Callithrix jacchus: one gene and its partners. The main gene of each other region encodes a partner of the protein of the gene in region 2 in a complex. Links are inferred from orthologs where the notes say so. Each region holds a gene or a part of one and is shown on either strand. Other genes may lie near its edges.

The links. The genes of interacting proteins can lie anywhere in the genome.
Region 1: TAF5 (region 2) and TADA3 share a complex: the UniProt entries of both Homo sapiens proteins name them as parts of the TFTC-HAT complex. The link is inferred for Callithrix jacchus from reciprocal best matches to the Homo sapiens genes TAF5 and TADA3.
Region 3: TAF5 (region 2) and TAF6 share a complex: the UniProt entries of both Homo sapiens proteins name them as parts of the TFIID basal transcription factor complex. The link is inferred for Callithrix jacchus from reciprocal best matches to the Homo sapiens genes TAF5 and TAF6.
Region 4: TAF5 (region 2) and TAF8 share a complex: the UniProt entries of both Homo sapiens proteins name them as parts of the TFIID basal transcription factor complex. The link is inferred for Callithrix jacchus from reciprocal best matches to the Homo sapiens genes TAF5 and TAF8.
Region 5: TAF5 (region 2) and TAF12 share a complex: the UniProt entries of both Homo sapiens proteins name them as parts of the TFIID basal transcription factor complex. The link is inferred for Callithrix jacchus from reciprocal best matches to the Homo sapiens genes TAF5 and TAF12.

What each region holds. Positions count from the first base shown.
Region 1 is NC_133516.1:66,954,079-66,958,293, forward strand, and holds the start of TADA3 (transcriptional adapter 3), read right to left. Parts: upstream 2,801-4,215; 5' UTR 2,679-2,800; intron 2,580-2,678; exon of another isoform or gene 2,534-2,579; intron 2,521-2,533; exon of another isoform or gene 2,017-2,520; intron 996-2,016; 5' UTR 969-995; coding exon 762-968; intron 1-761. Other genes in the region: ARPC4 (actin-related protein 2/3 complex subunit 4), read left to right, coding at 3,111-3,224. UniProt on the Homo sapiens protein: Functions as a component of the PCAF complex. The PCAF complex is capable of efficiently acetylating histones in a nucleosomal context. The PCAF complex could be considered as the human version of the yeast SAGA complex.
Region 2 is NC_133513.1:96,365,799-96,369,298, reverse strand, and holds part of TAF5 (transcription initiation factor TFIID subunit 5), read right to left. Parts: intron 2,782-3,500; coding exon 2,618-2,781; intron 2,509-2,617; coding exon 2,373-2,508; intron 1,365-2,372; coding exon 1,244-1,364; intron 1-1,243. UniProt on the Homo sapiens protein: The TFIID basal transcription factor complex plays a major role in the initiation of RNA polymerase II (Pol II)-dependent transcription.
Region 3 is NC_133503.1:13,465,391-13,469,545, forward strand, and holds the start of TAF6 (transcription initiation factor TFIID subunit 6), read left to right. Parts: upstream 1-1,355; 5' UTR 1,356-1,840; intron 1,841-4,155. Other genes in the region: CNPY4 (protein canopy homolog 4), read right to left, coding at 857-889. UniProt on the Homo sapiens protein: The TFIID basal transcription factor complex plays a major role in the initiation of RNA polymerase II (Pol II)-dependent transcription.
Region 4 is NC_133505.1:50,549,702-50,553,778, reverse strand, and holds the start of TAF8 (transcription initiation factor TFIID subunit 8), read right to left. Parts: upstream 2,801-4,077; 5' UTR 2,783-2,800; coding exon 2,738-2,782; intron 1,960-2,737; coding exon 1,803-1,959; intron 1-1,802. UniProt on the Homo sapiens protein: The TFIID basal transcription factor complex plays a major role in the initiation of RNA polymerase II (Pol II)-dependent transcription.
Region 5 is NC_133508.1:65,310,759-65,315,010, reverse strand, and holds the start of TAF12 (transcription initiation factor TFIID subunit 12), read left to right. Parts: upstream 1-1,452; 5' UTR 1,453-1,635; intron 1,636-1,918; exon of another isoform or gene 1,919-2,448; intron 2,449-3,054; exon of another isoform or gene 3,055-3,162; intron 3,163-3,404; exon of another isoform or gene 3,405-3,509; intron 3,510-4,252. UniProt on the Homo sapiens protein: The TFIID basal transcription factor complex plays a major role in the initiation of RNA polymerase II (Pol II)-dependent transcription.

The DNA.
Region 1 (4,215 bases), on a different chromosome or scaffold from region 2:
ACTTCATACCTCCACCGTGGACCCAACTGTGTTGTTTGGTCACATTGGAATGACCATCACACCTTGTCTCTTCAACTAGACCATAAGCTACTGAAGACCAGAAAGCCCATTTTAACCATCTCTGTTTTGCAGGATACAGCATAGCGCCTGGCACACAAGGCTCAGGGAATGTTTATGCTGTGAATAAAGTAATCAGAATAGTGAATAAATAATATCTGAAGTGCTTACTTAGTGCCTGGTATTGGGCTGCGCTTTTGTAAAAATTCTCTTTCAATCTTCATGAAAGCCCTAAGGTAGGTCCTATTATTCACCCCACTTTGCAGATAGGGAAACTGATACTCAGAGATGAGGCAGCTTTCCCAGAGTCACATAGCTAGGAAATAGCAATGCCAGCAAGTGCTTATGCCAGGATTCAAATCCAGGTCTCCCTATTCCAGTTCCCTAGTACTCCTTACCACAACACCACAAGTATGTACCTGACTTTCTCCCTTTCCTAGTTGGCAAGCTCCAACTAGGAGCTAGCATAGGACCCAGAACATAATGGGGGATGGGGTGTCAATAAAAGCTTAGTGAATTAGAAATCTTGCAATTTAAGAGGATCATGCATAGTCCTTTTGTGTCATGCAAGCCCAGTTTGGGTCTCTCCCCGTCTCCCCACAAACCCCTGTATCCCAGGTCTCAGCATATGGGGCTAACTCAATGACCCATCCCATAACTTGTTGCAGTCCATCTCTGGTGACCGACCCTCTCTGGGCTATCACCTGGGTTTCGGCCTCAAGCACACGCAGGCGCCGGCTGGCAGAAGACAGCAGGGTCTCAAGCTCCAGCTGCAGGGTGTCCAGCTCCTCAATGCCGATGCCATCGTCCTCAGAGCGTGCCAGCACTGCCGTGTAGCGGGGACAGACCTTCAGGTGATCCACAGACTTGAAATCGTGGAACTGCAAGGGGCAGTCTTTCAACTCACTCATGGCCCAGGATATGGGGATCCTGTGGAGCTGGAGAGGACAGAGCCATTGATGGGGGACAAAATAGTTTGAAAACAAGGGCTTCTTACCTCCAGGGACAGCCTCAAGGAAGCCAGAGTTCAGTCCCTTCCTGACAAGATTGATGGCACAGTTCCTACTCATAGGGCACTTAACTTGTGCCAAGCTAGGTGCAGAGCACTTTATCAGTCTATCTCACTGAACTTCTCGCTCAGCACCATGAACCACTGTGATCTCATTTTTACAGAGAAGGAAACTGAGACTCTGTAAGGGTGGGCATGTGCCTATGCTTCCAAGATGCAATTTGAACCCTGCTAGTCTTGAGTCTGCACCCCTGATCACCATGCTATACTGCTATGCCTTGCCTTTCTGATGCTCTTTCCTTCCCTTCTTTTTCTCTTGGGTTCTGCTAAGACTGAGTTCCAAGCACCCCATTCTTACCAAGTTCTCTGGGACTCAGCCTCTTCTTGCCTCTTCTTGTCCTACCACACTCCACATTTCCCATTTCTCTAGTCACTCACTAATAGTGGTTTAGAACGTGGGCTGGTAAGCCAGACAGACCTGGGTTCAAGCCCAGGCTTTAACATTCTCTATTTATGTGCCCCTGAACATGTTATTTGACCTTTTTTTTTTTTGAGACGGAGTTTCGCTCTTGTTGCCCAGGCTGCAGTGCAATGGCATGATCTTGGGTTACCGCAGCCTCCGCCTCCCGGGTTCAAGCGATTCTCCTGCCTCAGCCTCCCGAGTAGCTGGGATTACAGGCATGCACCACCACACCCGGCTAATTTGTATTTTTAGTAGAGACGGGGTTTCTCCATGTTGGCCTGGATGGTCTCGAGCTCCCAACCTCAGGTGATCCGCCCGCCTCAGCCTCCCAAAGTGCTGGGATTACAGGAGTGAGCCACCGTGCCCGGCCTATTTGATCTTTTTGAGTCTCAGTTTTTCCATCTGTAAAATGGGAACAAAAGAAGTCTTGGTCTGTTTCCCCATTAAAAGTCTGAATCTGAAAAATGGGGATAACAACAGTACCTACCTCCCTGGGATGGTCTGAGGATTAAGAGATGATGCCAGTCAAGAGCCCAGTTCAGTGCCTGGCACAGAAGAAGTGGGACTATTTAATGGCTGGCACCGCCCGGGGGTCGCCCCAGTGTCTTGACTTCAGAGTCCCTGTTATCCACGGACACCTAGCGCGACCCCCGCCCCCTCTACCTCCTCACTGCTGCCTCCTACGGCCCCGAGGCCGCGGGGAGTTCCGGTCGGTGGGAGCAACCGCCCCGGAACTGGCTATGGGCGGGCCCCTTGCAGTTGACGCGGGGGCGGGGAGTCAGCGAGGGCGAGCCTACTGGGATTTGAGGGAAGTAGGGAAAAGGTGGGCCTCGAGCAAGCCCACTAGGGGTTGGGTGCGGGTGGTGGGCCTCAGGCGAGCCCCAGGGCACAGCCCGGGGCGAGGGGCGGGGCTTGGCGGCTGAGATCGCGGCGCCGCAGTTAGCCCCGCCGAACCCCAGGAGCTGCGGGTAGGAGGGGCGAGAGAAAGGATGGGGGCACAGAACCGGAAGAAACGAAGGGCTCCTCCGCTTCAGCTTGTCCTAATTTGGTGCCCAACCTGAGGCTGGGCTGTACCATTGCATGTCTAGGGGGAGGCTGTGGCAAAGGAGACAAGAAGGCAGAAGGGACAAGCGAGAGATGCACGCATACCTGGAGAATCTTGAGTAGTAAACCGTGTACAAGAGTTTAAAAATACCGAGAGAGCCCTAACCGGAAAACTTCCGGGAGGCCCAAGCGTTCTAGGCGCTCCATACCCCGCTCAGAGCATGGATGGTACCGTCCGGAAGTCGGGCGGAGACCTCTGCTGCGCTTCTCGCGAAAGGGCAGGCATCGCGGGGCTGGCCGCTTCCGCACTTCCGCTTTCCGGCCCATCCAGCGCCCGCGATGGTGAGAGAGCCCGGTCCCGAGTTAGGGACCCCCAGCTGTTCAGCCTCAGGGCTGTGGGCCGGTGGGAGATGTGGCTTTGCCGTGGGGGCCCAGGGCCGATGGATGCCGGGGGCTGTGGGGACACGATGAGGGTGGGAGAAAGAGGCGGGGCGGGAGCCCGAGGTGAGGAAGGGGTGAGTGGGGGTATTCGCTGGTATGAAGCGGGCCTTGCTGCTTCACGATCAGCCTTCGAAGCAGGTAGCGACTTTTCCTGAGCCCTGGAGGAAGCCGGAAGTGGGGCCTCCTAGGGCTTGTTGGAGCGTTTTGAGGGTACGTAGTCGGCTTCTTAGCCCGTCGTAGGGCCGCTGAGGCGTGTAGCAAGGCCACCTGCCTATCCACAATGGAGCGTCACTAAACACGCCCTTTGTCCTCTTCTGCCTTCCTGACCCTACAGTTGCTCAAGGCAGGCGGCCACACTTCTTCTGGATGTACCAAGAGTGGGAGAACCACTGTTGGTACCTCCAGCCCAGCTTCCACCCCATTGGAGGATCTCTCGTGTTGCTTCCACTCAGGCCCTTCCTAGTCAGAACAGAACTGTGTCAGCCTTAGTGTTTGCTAGCTGTCATACTGTTCATTCCTTCCTTCCTGGAAGTCTTCCCTTTTCATACATGTGGGCATTCCTGGGATTTGTGACTTTGGATCACCACCTCCCTCTTCGCCACACCCTCCCTGGTGATACTGATCTAGTCTCTTGGCTTCGAAGACCTTTGCATTCTGGTGACTCCTAATCTGGCTTCCCAACTCTCTTTCAGGGTTTGTCTGGATATTTTGAAGCTATATTGAAATTAGATCTCTAGTTCAAAACTCATCTTCCATTCTAAACTTGCTCTTCACCCTGGGTTCCCTATCCTAGCAAACTTTGTGACCTCGTATCTCAGCTAGAAATCTGGATTTTTTTTTTCCTAATGGAGCACAGGTCTCTTGATTTTTAAAAATTCAAGTTTATTGAGGTATTACATGAAACTACATCTGTTTTATTCATGAAGGGACAGGCGTCATGGAGCCAGTCACCCTTTTTAGGTTTACTGTCTATAAGTGTTGACAAAATCTTGCTGGATATGGTGGCATGTGCCTGTAGTGCCAGCTATCAGGAGGCTGAGGCAGGAGGATTGTTTGAGCCGAGAAGTTTGAGGCTGTAGTACACTGTGATCACTCCTGTGAATAGCTACTGCACTTCATCCTGAGCAATATAGAAAGACCCCGTGTTTAAAAAAAAAAAGAAAGCCATGCTGTGTAACCACTACTACAACCAAAATATAGA
Region 2 (3,500 bases):
GGCGGTATGATCTCAGCATTTGAGAAGAAACTGAGGTTCAGAACAGATCATTTGCTACAGTGCACACTGCTACTCAGCGTGGGAACCAGGATTGAAACAGTTTTGTCCACTATGCCACAGTGTTTCACAAAAATGAAGACTATGAGCCAGGCAGGTGGCTCACACCTGTAGTCCCAGAACTTTGGGAGGCCAAGGCAGGCAGATTGCTTGAGCCCAGGAGTTCGAGACCAGCCTGGGCAACATGGAGAAACCCTGTCTCCACAAAAAATAAAAAATTAGCCAGTGTTGTTTCACACACCTATAGTCCTAGGTACTCAGGAGGCTAAGGTGGGAGGATTACTTGAGCCCAGGGATTGGAGTCTGCAGCAGGCCATGATCACACCACTGCATTCCAGCCTAGGCAACAGACTCCATCTCAAAAAACTTTTTTAAAAAAACTATGGAAATATGAAAATAATTTAAAATGTATTGCTTTAAATGATATAGTTAGTAAAAAGGTTTCTTTCAGGCCGGGTTTGGAGACAGGAACATAGCTTGAATCTGGGAGGTGGAGGTTGCAGTGAGCCACCTATAATTCCAGCATTTTGGGAGGTGAAACAGGTGGATCACTTGAGGTCAGGAGTCAGTTCAGCCTGGCCAACATGGTGAAACCCCATCTCTACTAAAAATACAAAAATTATCTGGGCATGGTGGTGGGCACCTGTAATCCCAGCTACTGGGGAGCTGGGAAAGCTGAGGCAGGACAATCACTCAAACCTGGGAGGTGGAGGTTGCAGTGAGCCAAGAAGATTGCACCACTGCAGTAGGTAACAAGGCGACACTTGGGTGACAAGGCGAGATTCTGTCTCAAAAAAAAAAAAAATTTTTTTTTCAAATAAAATCCTGATCTTGTTTGTTCTTTTTTTAGCCATTTTTTATGGCTAAAACAGGAAGTGCCATCCCTTATTTAAAGATTTTACAAGATTTACAAGCAAACAATCATAAAATATTAGATTTTTAACTTTAACTTTATTAGCCCAATACCCTAATTCTACAGATGAGAAAACAAGGCCCAAAGAAATTAAACCAGTCTAGTAACCCAGCCACTCCAGAGCTTTTTTCACTGTTGGGAATGTTAGAATCTTGAGTTAAAGTAAAATTAAGTGAATTTCCGCAAAGATCACAATCTCCTGTGTATTTTCGGTGGAATCAAGATTAGTATAGACTAATGGCAAGTTCACATTCCAAAAGGTCATTTCAGTACCTGATGCTTGTTTGACACTACGAAGCTTTTTGGGTGTTACAGACCACACTCTGACAGTTGAATCTGCAAAACCTCCAGCAATCAGACTAGAATCATCAGTGACATCCACTGCAGTGAGACCCTGCCAATAAAAGTTTTAGACTAAACAATACTATTTTAGGGCATTTAGAGTACAGGAGAGGAAGCAAATGTTAATCATTTTCACACTCTACTAAATATACCCTCAACCCCCATTTTAAGGAATATATTTGTAAAATTCTTGATTTAAAATATTAAGTTTGGCCAGGCACAGTGGCTCATACCTGTAATCCCAGCACTTTGGGAGGCTGAGACAGGTGGACTGCCTGAGCTCAGGAGTTCTAAACCAGCCTGGTCAACATGGCGAAACCCCATCTCTACTAAAAATACAAAAATTAGCTGGACATGGTGGCTCATGCCTGTAATCCGCTATTCAGGAGGCTGAGGCAGGAAAATCACTTAAACAGGGAGGCAGAGGTTGCAGTGAGCCAAGATCGTGCCAGTGTACTCCAGCCTGGGTGTCAGAGGAGATGCCATCTTAAAAAAATACAATCAAATTAAAATATAAAATAAAGTTTACATGGCTGGGCACAGTGGCTCATGCCTGTAATCACAGCACTTTTGGAAGTCCAGGCGGGCAGATCACTTGAGGTCAAAAGTTCAAGACCAGCCTGGGCAACATGGCAAAATCCTGTCTCTACTAAAAATGCAAAACTTTAGCTGGGCATGGTGGCAGGCACCTGTAATCCCAGCTATTCGGGAGGCTGAGGCTGAGGCACGAGAATCACTTGAACCCAGGAGGTGGAAGTTCTGTCTTAAAAAAAATTGATAAATAAGTTTACGTAATTACTTAAACCAAGCTCAAAAGAGATGAACCACAATTTCCTCCTCCTCAAAGGCAAGCGGAATTCTGATCAGTGCAACAAATGCCATTAAACACTGGCTTCTATCTATTCTGTGCAGTATCCAATTCTCTTTTCCTGACTGCTGTCTTTAAATTATATCAAGAGTTTAAATAACAAAACTTCATTTTAGTTAACACATTTATTTCTCTTAATGGTAAATCTCCAGATGACTCTCCAGGTAGAAATCGTCCAATTATTTTACCAACCTGATAAGCATTGAGAAATGTATAGAAACAAATGGAGGGTAAGCAGTCTGGCCCAAGGCGCACTCGTTTGGTGGTTTCTTTCATATTCATTATCTTATCCAACTTATCTGAATCTTTCAACTCAGGAAGAGGGATTCTGTGAAAGAAAAACAGATTCAAAATTACCTTTTGACTATTAACAAACATGAACTCTCTATAACATGTCTTATACCTCCACACACAAGTTCCTGAAGTTTTTTCCTCACCTGTTCTGAGGTGGAGCATTGGGATCTTGTTTTTTGCTTTTGGATCCAATACTATCTTTTTTAGGCTTCTTCTTTTTAGGTTTTCCTTCTTCATTTTCTCCCTCTTCATCCTCGTCATCCAAAGGTACCTCAATTTCTGGCTCTTTTAACAAACCAAAAAATACCTACAAGTCAAAAGAGCCAACATTTTTTAAATTAACTATTTGTTCATTAATATACCCATTTCACATCTTGATAGGATAAATCACAATTACAAAATAGTAATTTATACTCTGAAGCAGGGTTCTGTACTTGTCTACCCAACAGCCATTCACCCCTTTTTCCTTACTAACAGAACCCTGATTTTATTGGAGTAGCAATGTGCTCAGTTAAGTCATTTCTGTTCCCAGGCTCCCTTGCAGCTAGGAATGTCCATATAAGTATATTGGGTACGGTTGTATGAAAAAAATATTGTTTTCCTGATAAAAAATGGAAAGCTTCATCAGAGCTACGCTTTTTGTCCTCCCCCTTCTTCCTTCTTGGAACGGAGCTGCAATGCTGAAACCACAATGACTGGTGAGCACAAAGAAGAAAGCCACATTCTAAAGGTGGTAGACCAGAAACTAGAAGGAGCCAGGGACCTTGATGGCATTGTGGAGCCTTCATGCCAGCCCTGGAAGGCCTTCCTCTGAAATTCATTTTATGGGAGAAAAATTCTTTGTTTCAGCCACTGCATTCAGAGTTCTATAAAATGCAACCATACCCAAATTATCACATATAAACATCACCCTCAGAACACAAAATTTTATATACAGTATAAAACTGTTCCCAAGCTAGCTATAAGAAAAATGTGTAAATTATGTAGATGGAAATGCTACAATTTTTCATAATCTGCATTATAGAG
Region 3 (4,155 bases), on a different chromosome or scaffold from region 2:
GACTGATACAATTAGGTGATTAAGTCTGTGTTTAAAAAGGCTGACAGGTCAGGGGAGAAGAGTGGGACACGGAGGTGAAAAGAGACAGAGATGAGGACTACGTCATGAGAGTATCATGACCACCTTTCCTGACTTTACGTTTCTTCCCTCAAGAATCCAGGGAAGAAACGTGAAGTCAGGAGGGCAGCAAACTAGGGGATCAGGGCCAGCTCTGAAGTGCCCCCTTTCTCAACTGGGCCCCACACTAGTGCAGCTACGGAAAGTGCTGCTTGCTGAAAAATCCACATAGTACACACCGTCTGCAAAGTCTCACCCGGATGGGGAACCTCCCCTAGTCGTGTGGCCTCCTGTTGTTTTTGAGCTTGAAGGGCAGAATTACTCACCCTCAAACCCCGTCAGGGGTCGTGGGGCCTGTAATTTGGGAGCGTCTATGCTAGGGTGGGGCAGCAGATGTCCACAAGGCCTGAGCCTCACAGAGCTCCTGCAGCCTCTGCAGATTAAGGTCTGGTGACGGGAAACACGCACTGAAGATGCTCTAAAGTTGGCAGTCCAGGGCCAATGGTCCCTGAACTACAATTCCCACAATCCATTGGGGGGGGGCGGGGGGGTCCAAGTCAACCAAAAAAATGCAGGCTCTCTTTGAATGCCTCCTGGGAAGTGCAGTGCCATAGCTTTGGGGCGGCACTACACGTTTGCTTCCTTGACCCCATCCATTCAAATTCAGCCAAGCTCCACCAGAACCTCCCTCAAGCTTTCAAGGAGTTCAGGTGACCCACCCAATACAGTCCAAGAGGTCCGGCCTAGAAGAAGGAGGTGTGGCCGGGCGATGCCAACAGGGGCTACCCCCTTCAGATACCTTCGCATTTGCTGGGCAAACGTTCTGTGTCATCGTCCTCTTCCTTCGGCTTCCCAGCCCAAGCCCCGTGCACGGCCAAAAGGAAAAGCAATATTCCCAACCACATAGGTCCCATGACAAAGCGCCATCCACAAACAACCATCGCTTGCTTTCAAACCAACTTCGGGAAGGCAGTGGGTCCTTTAAATGCCCAGGCGGCTGGCGGCAACCTTAAATCCAGCCTGGCAAGGTCGGCGCACGAGCAGAATCAGCTCGGTAGGGGGCGGGGCCTCATTGCTCTGAGTTTCTCCGCCTCCGTTTTGTGGCGCCTCTTCAAGGTCCTGGCAGCCGGGTAGTGAAGGAATAATTTGCAGTAATTCAACCAAGACGGAATTCTTCTTATATGTAGATGTTTAAACAAAATTTTAAAATATAATTTCATTCCGTGAGTCCAGAGAACGTATTCTGGCACGGGGAAGCGGTAGCGATTTGGACTTCCGCTCTGCCAGGACCTGCTCCTAGGAGGGGGCGGGGCCAAGATGGCGCCCAGCGCCGGGTGAGCGGCGTCTTGGCGGCGGCCAGAGTTTTCCTGCTCCCAGCGTTCGGCTGGCGGGGGCGGGTCTGAGTGGTACTCTGGAGGAGACCCTTTGAAGGTCCCTTGTGGGGACTAGAAACAAGACGGTTGGTTGTGTGTCCGTGCTCGTGGGGACCCCGTGTGTGTGTCTGCATTGGAGAGATGTTGCAGGAGATGAGGTGGGCTCTCTGAGCCTCCTTTCGCGCTCCCCGGGGATTTTCGACCTGCTTCTCTGCTGGGATCCCGCTCAAGTTAATCCTCCCCTGGGACGCCTTCCTGCCGCCTCCACTGATCTGAGGAGATCCTGTGACTGTAGCGTGTTTTATGAGCCTTTACTGACAGAGGGTACCGCCGGGTATTGAAGGATTCGTAAGAGTTCGCCAGGGAAGTGGGACACGACCGCCTCTTATAAACGCGGCGCCAGGCACAGAGTATGTCTCGAATAATTGTGTTCCCTATAGATAAGACTTTAAAAAGTTGGGGAGGAGACCAGGGATGGTTTGAAAAGAACCAGTTTCTTCTTCGGCCTCCCTCTTCCCATCCTTCCAGCACAGCCCCACCCTACCACCTGTACTATTCCTGAACAGTATTGATGTTAATCTTCCTAATGTCCAGCTCCAGTGTGCCACTTGACTTTTTTTTTTTTTTCCTTGAGACAGGGTTTCTGTCTGTTGCCCACGCTGCTATGGAACTCCTAGGCTCAAGTGATCCTCCCACCTCAGCCTCTTAAGTAGCTGGGATGACAGGTCCACCATGCCAGGCTAATTTTTCAATTTTTTGCAGAGATGGGGGTCTCACTATGTTAAGCAAGCTGTTTCAAACTCCCATCCTCAAGTGATCCACCTTCCTCTGTCTCCCAAAGTGCTGGGATTACTGGAGTGAGCTACCTTGCTTGGCTCCATTTTGTTGTTTTTTTAAGACTGGAGTCTCCCTCAGGCGCCCAGGCTGGAGTGCAGTGACATGATCTCGGTTCACTGTAACCTCTACCTCCTGGGTTCAAATGGTTCTCCCACCTCAGCCTCCCAAGTAGCTGGGACTACAGGTGGCCACCCCCATGTTCTGCTAATTTTTGTGATTTTACAAAAAAATGGGATCTTGCCACGTTGACCAGGGTGGTCTTGAACTCCTGACCTCTGGTGATCTTCCCACCTCGGCCTCCCAAATTGCAGGCGTGAGCCACTGCACCTGGTCTACTTTGCTTTTAACTGCAGTGTAGGCTCGAAGTTTGGACCTGTGACATATTTTCTTAATAACAGCAATAACTAGTAGTTACCGAGTACCAACATCTCTAAACCTTACAACTAATTCATCTACTTAACAAATATTTATGATGTCCCAGGCTGGGATCCTGGAATACATTAGTGAACATAATAAAGTGCCCTGTCAGCTGGGCATGATGGCTCACGCCTGTAATCCCAGCACTTTGGGAGGCCGAGGCAGGCGGATCACCAGAGGTCAGGAGTTCGAGACCAGCCTGAGGAACATGGCGAAACCCCATCTATACTAAAAATACAAAAATTAGGCCGAGCACGGTGGCTCATGCCTGTAATCCCAGCTACTCGGGAGGCTGAGGCAGGAGAATCACTTGAACCCACGAGGCAGAGGTTGCAGTGAGCCGAGATTGCGCCACTGCACTCCAACCTGGCGCCTGGCGACAGAGCAAGACTCTGTCTCAAAAAAAAAAGAAAATAGGAAAATTAGCCTGCTGTGCTGGCACATGCCTGTAATACCAGCCACTTGGGAGGCTGAGGCAGGAGAATCGCTTGAACCCGGAAGGCAGAGGTTGCAGTGAGCCAAGATCGCACCACTGCACTCCAGCCTAGGCAACAGGAGTGAATTCCATCTCAAAAAAATAAAAAGCAAATAAAGAGCCCTGTCTATATGGTGTGTGGTGGGGGTAATAAACAATAAGAAACGATACAACGAATTAGAAGGTTTTTTTGTTTTTTTGAGATGGAGTCTCACTTTGTTGCCAGGCTGGAGTACAGTGGCTCACTGCAACCTCTGCCTCCTGGGTTCAAGTGATTCTCCTGCCTCAGCCTCCCAAGTAGCTGGGACTATAGGCACATGCCACCACGCCCAGCTAATTTTCATATTTTTAGTAGAGACAGGGTTTCACCATGTTGGCCAGGATGGTGTCAATCTCTTGACCTTGTGATCTACCCGCCTTGGCCTTTCAAAGTGCTGGGATTACAGGCGTGAGCCATTGCACCCAACCCAGATGTTAAATGCTATAGAAAAGAAAAAGTGGCATTCATTCAAAAAAAGAAAAGAAAAAGTGGGCTGCTCCCACTCTGAGGGCAGAGTGCAGAGTTAAATAGGGTGGTCAGGGCAGACAGGCAATCAGGCATTCTGGAAGAACATTCCAGGCAGAGGGAATGGAGTAAAGGCTATTAGACAAGAGTATGCCTGGCAAGTTGAAGGGGCAGCCTGAAGGAATATGTGTCTGGATCAAAGTGGAAGCAGGAAGGAAAGGCAGTCAGAGATGTAATGGGAGAAGGCAAATTTTGAAGGGCTTTGTAGGACATTAAAAGGATTTTATCTTCTTTTTCTTTTTTCTTTTTTTTTTTTTTGAGAAGGAGTCTTGCTCTGTCACCCAGGCTGGAGTACAGTGACATGATCTTTGCTCACTGCAACCTCTGCCTCTCGGGTTCAAGTGATTCTCCTGCCTCAACCTCCCTAGTAGCTGCAATTATAGGCGTCCGCCACCATACCCATCTAATTTTTGTATTTTTAGTAGCGATAG
Region 4 (4,077 bases), on a different chromosome or scaffold from region 2:
ATTGTACATTCTTATTTTCAAAATTTGTTTTATTTTCTAATGTGGCAAATACACATATACAAAAGCTACTTGGGGTCCTCAATGTTTATTAATAGAAAAGGATTCTGAGAGCTGGGCATGGTAGCACATGCCTGTAATCCCAGCTATGTGAGAGGCTTGGGCCCAGAAGTTTGAGGCCAGCCTGGGCAACATAGCAAGACCCCATCTCTAAAAGAATAAATAAATATAGTTCTGAGGCTGAAATGTTTGAGATCACTGCTTTAGGGAAACATTTGGTATGTAAAAGTGCCTGACATCAGCTGCAGAGAGCCACCTTGCCCAAGATCACCCTTCCTGGGGTAGCCCACATCAGTGTTTGATCAAATCCTGAGTATAAAGGCAGAGCCCTTTCAGCTTGATGGGCAATAATGCTCCAGGGGTCCTGGCTGAGTTGTCCATTCTTTGTTGGGCCTGCACTGCACTCCACATCTCCCTCTCCCCAAACCTTTCTCCTACTTCCTTTCATAGTTGTTGATCCCTAAGAAACACTGTAAATACTTCCATCCCTCATCAGATCCCATCCCCCAAAAGTTCAAAACAGGGAAATATGTTGTACATGCAGAATAGCCTATGTGAGACAATGTTGGGCTTCTAAATCTCAACACGTTGCTTTTAAAAGCAGCTTTTTGGCCAGGCGCAGTGGCTCATGCCTGTAATCTCAGCACTTTGGGAGTCTAAGGTGGACAGATCACCTGAGGTCAGGAGTTCGAGACCAGCCTGGCCAACATGGTGAAACACCATCTTTACTAAAAATACAAAAATGAGTTGGGCATGGTGGTGCACGCCTGTGATCCCAGCTACTCAGGAGGCTGAGGCAGGAGAACTGCTTGAACCCAGGAGTGGGAGGCTACGGTGAACTGACTGAGATTGTGCCACTGCGCCCCAGCCTGGGCAACAGACTCCGTCTCAAAAAAAAAAAAAAAAAAAAAAGTGGCTTTATCCCTTGTTCTTTGTATTACATAATCTAGCATTTGATTACATAATGTGATGTTATCTATTGCATAAGGAATTAGTCCTGACTCCCCAACAAAAGTCTTTAAGGGCATCCACAACTCACTAAGAGCTTACAATCTCCCCAGCATTGAATGTTTTATATACACATCTCACACTCACAACTCCATGAGGTACAAAGTGTTATCCCATTTCAAAAATGAGGAAATTGAGGTTCAGGAGGTTCAGTGGCTTGCCCAAGCTATTAAGTGACAGAGTGATGATGTACACTCAGGTCTATCTGATTCTGAAGCCTGTAAGTCACTTCATTATGCTCTTCTTTCTTTCTTTCTTTCGTTGTTTTTGGAGATGGAGTCTTGCTCTATTGCCAGGCTGGAGTGCAGTGCCATAATCTCGGCTCACTGCAACCTCCACCTCCCAGATTCAAGTGATTCTCCTGCCTTAGTCTCCTGAGTAGCTGGGATTAAGGCACCCAACTAACACCATGTTCAGCTAATTTTTAATTTTTATTATTTTTTATTAGAGATGAGGTTTCGCCATCTTGGCCAGGCTGGTCTTGAACTCCTGACCTCAGGTGACCCACCTGCCTTGGCCTCCCAAAATGCCGGGATTACAGGTGTGTGCCACCACGCCAGGCCCATTATGCTTTTTTCTTTTTTCAACTTTTTACATTAAAAACATTTTTTTTCTCCCCTCTTAAGAAAAAAGTTGATCTTCTTTTTCTTAAATCCTCTCAAACACGATCGTAAAGCAGGGCACAAAACTGATGCTGGGGTTGATTGGAAAAAGGACTAATGTTTCCACGGACTCACAGCTCTGCAGCATCTCTGTCAATGTTTCCACGGATGCTTTCTCAGCACTCTCAAACCCGGCCTCTGTCAGCAAGGAGCTCACAACCACTTGCAGGGTTCTCCTCCGGGCCAGATGATAGTTATCGGCAGGGTTAGTGGACTGTTTACTTCCCGATCTCTGTGAATCAGCAGCCCAGAGAGATTTTCATCCAGGAGAAGGATGCAATCACAGAGTTCACACATGGTCAGTGGCAAGGCAAAAGTGCTTTTACTAAATACTTTTATTTTAAAAATCGGTGCTTAACGTTTAGATTTACAGATCTTGGCCAACTGAGTAATAATTGAGCACCCAAGGTGCTTTAAATACAGAGACTACTCTTCTGCCTACCTAAAACGTACGGTCCCAATAAGATAAAATAGTAGGACTTTTATCTTCTACTTTAGCATACCATTAGAATATATAGCTGGAGAAACACGCATGATGGGATTGAATAGATCTGTCCCCCCAGAAAAAACAGGATCCCTCTCTTGTGCCCCCCATCTTCACACCATTTCATTGAAAGGGAAATTGAAAACATAATAAGAGGTGACGGCGAGGAGAGAAGAGCAAAAGATAACAGCACGAAAATGTAAGAAAGCTAAATATTTTGAAAAGGGAATCCCTTTCAACTTTGGCCGGCCAATAAGAAAGCGAAAACGGCATTTTCAGACCAATCAGGGGGTATTCCGGGTTCCCAACCCCCAACAGCAAACGAGCCAATCAAGACACAGGTCCGCCAACTCCGGAGGCCGCAGCCAAGTCCCAGGGAGGGGGGTGCGTAAGGCCTGAAAGACCCTCCGCCAATAGGACCTCATGGTGGGGCTGGATTTCTGGGGATTCGCTTGTGGCTCAGTCTAGGGGAAAGCTTCAGAATACCCAAACTCTTTCGGCTCCAGCACGCGCCTCCTGCCCTTACCGTTCCGGAGCCGCCGGCCCCAGCTGTGGCCGCCGCGTCGGCCATCTTGCTCTGGCGTAGTGTGCGCGAGCGCAGGGCGGGATGGGACTTGTAGTCGCGGGGCGGGGCGGGGTGGTATGCGCCCCTCTAGGTTTTGCGAAGCTCGGTGGGTTACTGGACGCCGCCGGTAACCCCGGCTCACGTGACTTTTTTTTTTTTTTTGGCGGGGGTTGGGGTTGGGAGACAGGACAGAGATTCTGTCTCCTAGGCTAGAGGGTGCAATGGCGCGATCTTGGCCCACTGCAACCTCCACCTCACCGGCTCAAGCGATCCTCGCGCCTCAGCCTCCGGAGTAGCTGGGATTACAGGCGGGGACCAACATGCCCAGCTAATTTTTGTATTTTTAGTAGAGACCGGGTTTCTCCATGTTGGCCAGGCTTGTCTAAGATTCCTGGGCTCAAGCAATCCGCGGCCTCGGCCTCCCAAAGTCCTGGGATTACAGGCGTGAGACACCAAGCCTGCCTCACGTGACCTTTTGAGAGCGAAGTGTTCAGGGCCTTCAGTGGCTTGGTTGTGGACAGTGAAAACAAGCTCTCTATTTCACTGAGTTAAAAGAAATCTTTTAATATGAAAATCATTTCTTAAAAAGAGTACACTCCTGGAAGGACCCAGGAGGTCATCTACACCCGCAGGGTTTTATAAACTTGTCTGATTATTGGCAACACCTGACCGTGCCCAGCCAATTCCCAGTGACTTAACTCTCTGGAAGAGGGGCTTGGAATCTTTCTTATTAAGGAGATCCCCAGGTGATTCTCCTGAGTGGTTAATGTTGGGAAACCCTGGAGCATCCAGCCTCATTATATTGTGCTGAGGGCCGCTCAGCCTGTCAATCAATGGCCCGCTTGGAAGTAGAGCCTGGACCACCTAGTCCAAGTCTATGGCTGCATCCTGCTGCCTTCGCGCCCTCGACCCGCAAGTATTTGCAGGGCGAGCCTGTGGCTGTTGGGGGGGGGGTTGTTCCTTGCCGCCTCACTCCCAGGGTGTGGGGTGCCCACGGCTGCCCTTGCTTGTCAGCCCCTCTGGCTGCGCCGTATTCGTTCCCATTTGCAGGTACCTGGAAGGACGAAGACGCTGGGCTTGGATCCTAACACTAGACAGCTATGGGACTTCGGGCACTTGACCTTATCCTCAGTGTGCCTTAGTTTCCTCTTCTGTGAAATCGGGGTAAAAATGAGATGATACACAGAAAGGGTATGTTATGGTGCCTGACGTGTATTAACAGTCAAGAAATCAGCCGGGCGTGGTGGCTCACACCTCTAATCCCAGCACTCTAGTAAGGCCCAGGCGGGTGGATCACCTGA
Region 5 (4,252 bases), on a different chromosome or scaffold from region 2:
GGACTGGAGTGCAGTGGTGCGATCATGGCTTATTGTAACCTCTGCCTCCTGGGTTTAAACAATTCTGTCTTCACTTCCTGAGTAGCTGGGATTACAGGCATGCGCCACCAGGCCTGACTAATTTTTTTTTGTATTTTTAGTAGAGACTGGGCTTCACCATATTGGCCAGGCTGGTCTCAAACTACTGACCTTGTGATCTGCCTGCCTCGGCCTCCCAGAGTGCTGGGATTACAGAACTGCGCACAGCCCAGGTTGCAAACTTTTTAAGAACCAGGATATCATCCGTCTTAGACACCAGTTATGTACTCAGGACATAGCAAAAGGCTTGGCACACAAGACTCAATAAACACTTGTCAAATGATTCAATCTGGGTCTTAAAAAAGAGGTATAGGTGTTCAATAACAAAAAGTGGAATGCCAGACCCTAAAAAGAATGGAGAGCAGTGGCAGGGAAATAAGGCTAGGAATACAGCTTGGAGCCCAATGTTCATGAGGACTTGAATCTGAGAATTTGGATTGGGTGGCAGTGAAGAGCGTGGATTGGGAGTGTGGTAGGATGATTCGGAAGATATAAAGACAGGGGAGGATGCCGCACCAATTTGGGCAGCTCTTTGTGATTCCTGCTGGCAGATACTGTGGCTTACTCTGGGCTGTCACAGCTCTTTATAAATTTTTTGGTGTTTGTGGGTTCTTCTCCGACTTACTGTGAACCTCACAGATGCTGGAATTGTGAGGCATGCTTGCATGCCTAACATTCCAGTCTGGCAACAAGTAAAAAAAATACAGCAGTTCTCACCAAGCATTTGACAACTGAAAAACTGAAAGCACTAGAGATTGCTACAGGACAGGCTCTGGCGTAGGAGTGAGTTCTGAGTTCAAGCTGAGGCTCTGCACTTATTAGCTAGAACTTTTCTTAATCACTCACAGGTCTCCTCTGATTAAATGTCGTAACGGAGGAGGTAAGCGGATTAGCATAATTCCTGGCAAACAGTAAGCATTCAACTGTATTGTTGAATTGATAGTTCACAAGCACAACCAACCGATTTCTCTCGTCTCCCAGTTCTTGTGCTGCCAACTTCCTCGTTGAGGTCCAACAGGATATCTATAGGGTAATGTGTCCCAGATGATATCCCGGTCCTGACACCATGACAAAGACAACAACCAAAAATGGCGACCTCAAAGCCATCTGAGGGCGTCAATTACCCGTCCTGCTACCGATAGATAAATAAGCAGGGTCAGTTAGAGAAGCTAGTGAAGGATTCTTAACGCTGGGGTGGAATACGCAGAGCTCACTCACGTTGCCACTCAATCACAAGCAGTTAAAACCGCAAGCTGCAGAGTCTAGCTACATACAGCCCAATACAGCCACCACGTGTCGGAGGGCAGTCTGCGCCTGCGCTAGCGAGGCGCGCGCCCGCCTGCCGGAAGAGCCGCGCGTTTCCGGGTTGGAGGCGGGGAGCGGTGCCGGAAGTAGTCGGGGAGGGCCGCGCAGTCGGACCGGCTGCTGAGACGAACGCTACATTGGGGCAGTCTCCGCATATCATGGGGAGATAGACGCTGCTGCCTGTGAGTCTTGGGCCCTGGCAGTTGAGGAACAAGAGCGGGAGGAGGGAGTCAGGACCCAGACCTACAGTAGGTCAGTGTTCGAAGGTCCAGGTTGTGAACGAGATGGGGCTGTGAGGATTCAGGTTCTCGGGAAGGGACCTACTGAGAGGATCGGGCTCGGAGAAGACGCGGCTCTGGGGACCCGGGCTCTAGATGGGACTTAGGGAACGGGAATGGATGTGAGTTCTCCAGCATCTGAGGGAAAGCGGTCTGAGAGGAACAGGATTATGAGAACCGGCACTCCTAAGAGGAGAGGGTCGTAAGTGAATGGGGCGTGAAGACGGGCTCCGGAGTGGTAAAAGTGGAGCGGTGAGGACTTGGGCTCCTAAGAGGCAGAAGCGGGACAGTGAAGACCCGGGCTCCTAAGGATTCAGAAACGGGGCAGCGAAGACTTAGGTTCCTGAGGGGCAGAAGCAGACAGCGAAAACTTGAGTTTGGAAGGGAACAGAAGCGGACAGTGAAGGCTGGAGCTTCTGTGGGGATGGGATCCGGGCTTTGAGACTCCGAGTTCCTGAGTCTCAGAACAGGGCTGTGAGCACCAGAGCTCCTAAAAGCCTTGGATCTAAGGGACCATGGATGTGAGATCAGCCTACAAAGTAAAGGGAAAGGGCTTGGAAAAGATTCAGTGATCCATTTTTTTCTCGTATTCTCTGAACCCAGAGGGATAAAGGACATATCAGGGGAAGACAACTTCTCCTTCGCACTGCCTTTTTGGCTCTTGGCAGGCTTTTCTTGTGTCAGATACTCAATCTAGGAAGCCCACATGCAAACATCTTCATTTTCTGCTTCATTCTTGGGAATCAGATGTGAAGTTGAAAACAGTTGAAACTCAGTTATATACTTAGTAAGTGCTTTAAATCCCATTCCACTCAACCCTGAATGATCACAGAACTCTGCGTCTCAAATTAAAGAGTGTCAGTGATGGAAGGGTCCCAAAAGATCATCTCTTAAAAACTCCTATTTTACATTTAAAGAAGCTAAGTTTCAAAGAGACTTAGATCACAGTGAGGCAATGGTTAGTTAGATCATAATTTTAATACAGTACCCTGCTATATGTAGCAAATGAGATGCTTGGTTAATGTGCCTTAAATAAATGCTTCTAGAATGTTTGCTTTATCTTCAAGCTCAGGAGGAAATTTTTTTTTTTAAGGCAGGGTCTCTGTCACCCAGGCTGAAGTGCAGTGGCTCAGTCTTGGCCATGCACCCTCAACTTCTGTCTCAAGCAATCTTCCCACCTATACCTCGTGAGCAGCTTGAACTACAGGCATGTACCACCATGCCCTGTTAATTTTTAAATTTTTTGTAGAGACAGGGTCTCACTATATTGCCCAGGCTGGTCTCAAACTCCTAGGTGCAAGCGATCCCCTCCCACCTTGGCCTCCCAAAGTGCTGAGATTACAGGCATGAGTCACCTTGCCCCCTCCTCCAGTTTTGTTTGTTTTTGAGACAGAGTCACCCAGGCTGGAGTGCAGTGGCAAGATCTCGGCTCACTGCAATCTCTGCCTTCCTGGTTCAAATGATTCTTCTGCCTCAGCCTACGGAGTAGCTGGAATTACAGGTGTGTGTTGCAACGCCCGGCTAATTTTTGTATTTTCAGTAGAGATGGGGTATTGCCATGTTGGTCAGGCTGTCTTGAACTCCTGCCACCACCATCAGCCTCCCAAAGTGCTGGGATATAGGCGTGAGCCACTGTGCCTGGCCCAGTTTTTATTGAATGTTGTTAATGTATTGACATCAATATAGTGAATGTCACTTAATAGTGAGGAAATCTTTTTTTTTATTTTTCTATTTTTGAGACAGGGTCTTGTTCTGTTGCCCAGATTGGAGTACAGTGGCATCATCATGGTTTGCTGCAACCTATATTCTTGGGCTCAAGCACTCCTCCTGTGTCAGCCTCCCAGGTAGGTGGGACTATAGGCATGAGCCACCACACCCAGCTAATTTTTTTTTTTTTTTTGAGACAGTCTCTGTTGCCCAGGCTGGAGTGCAATGGTGCAGTCTCAGCTCATTACAACCTCTGCCTCCTGGGTTTGAGCAATTCTCCTGCCTTAGCCTCCCGAGTAGCTGGGATTATAGGTGCCCGCCACCACCTGTGGCTAATTTTTGTATTTTTAGTAGAGATGGGGTTTCACCATGTTGGCTAGGCTGGTCCCGAACTCCTGACCTTGTGATCCGCCCACCTCAGCCTCCCAAATTGCTGAGATTACAGGGGTGAGCCACCGCACTGGACGGCACCCAGTTAATTTTTTAATTTTTTTAATAGAGACAGTGTTTGGCTGTGTTGCCTAGGTTGATGTTGAATTTTTGGCCTCAAGTGATCCTCCCGCCTTGGCCTCCCAAAATATTGGGATTATAGGCATGAGCTACTACTGCACCTGGCTGGAACCTTCAAATAAAGCTCAGTGTTATTTGTTTATTTAACAAGCCGTTTGGAAAGTCATAAATAAGTGTGTCCTATATTTTTAATAGAAGCATTTATTAGAGATGGCCACTTTTGGGTAAGGATGGTGGGGAGACTTGCACTAGTCACTTCCTTCAATATGACTATCTTTTTCTGAAACCTACTCAGATTAACTAAGCACAGCTTAAGCACTTTCAAGTATTGTATGATTTAATTATCACAGCCCCACAAGTTAGATATTGTCAGT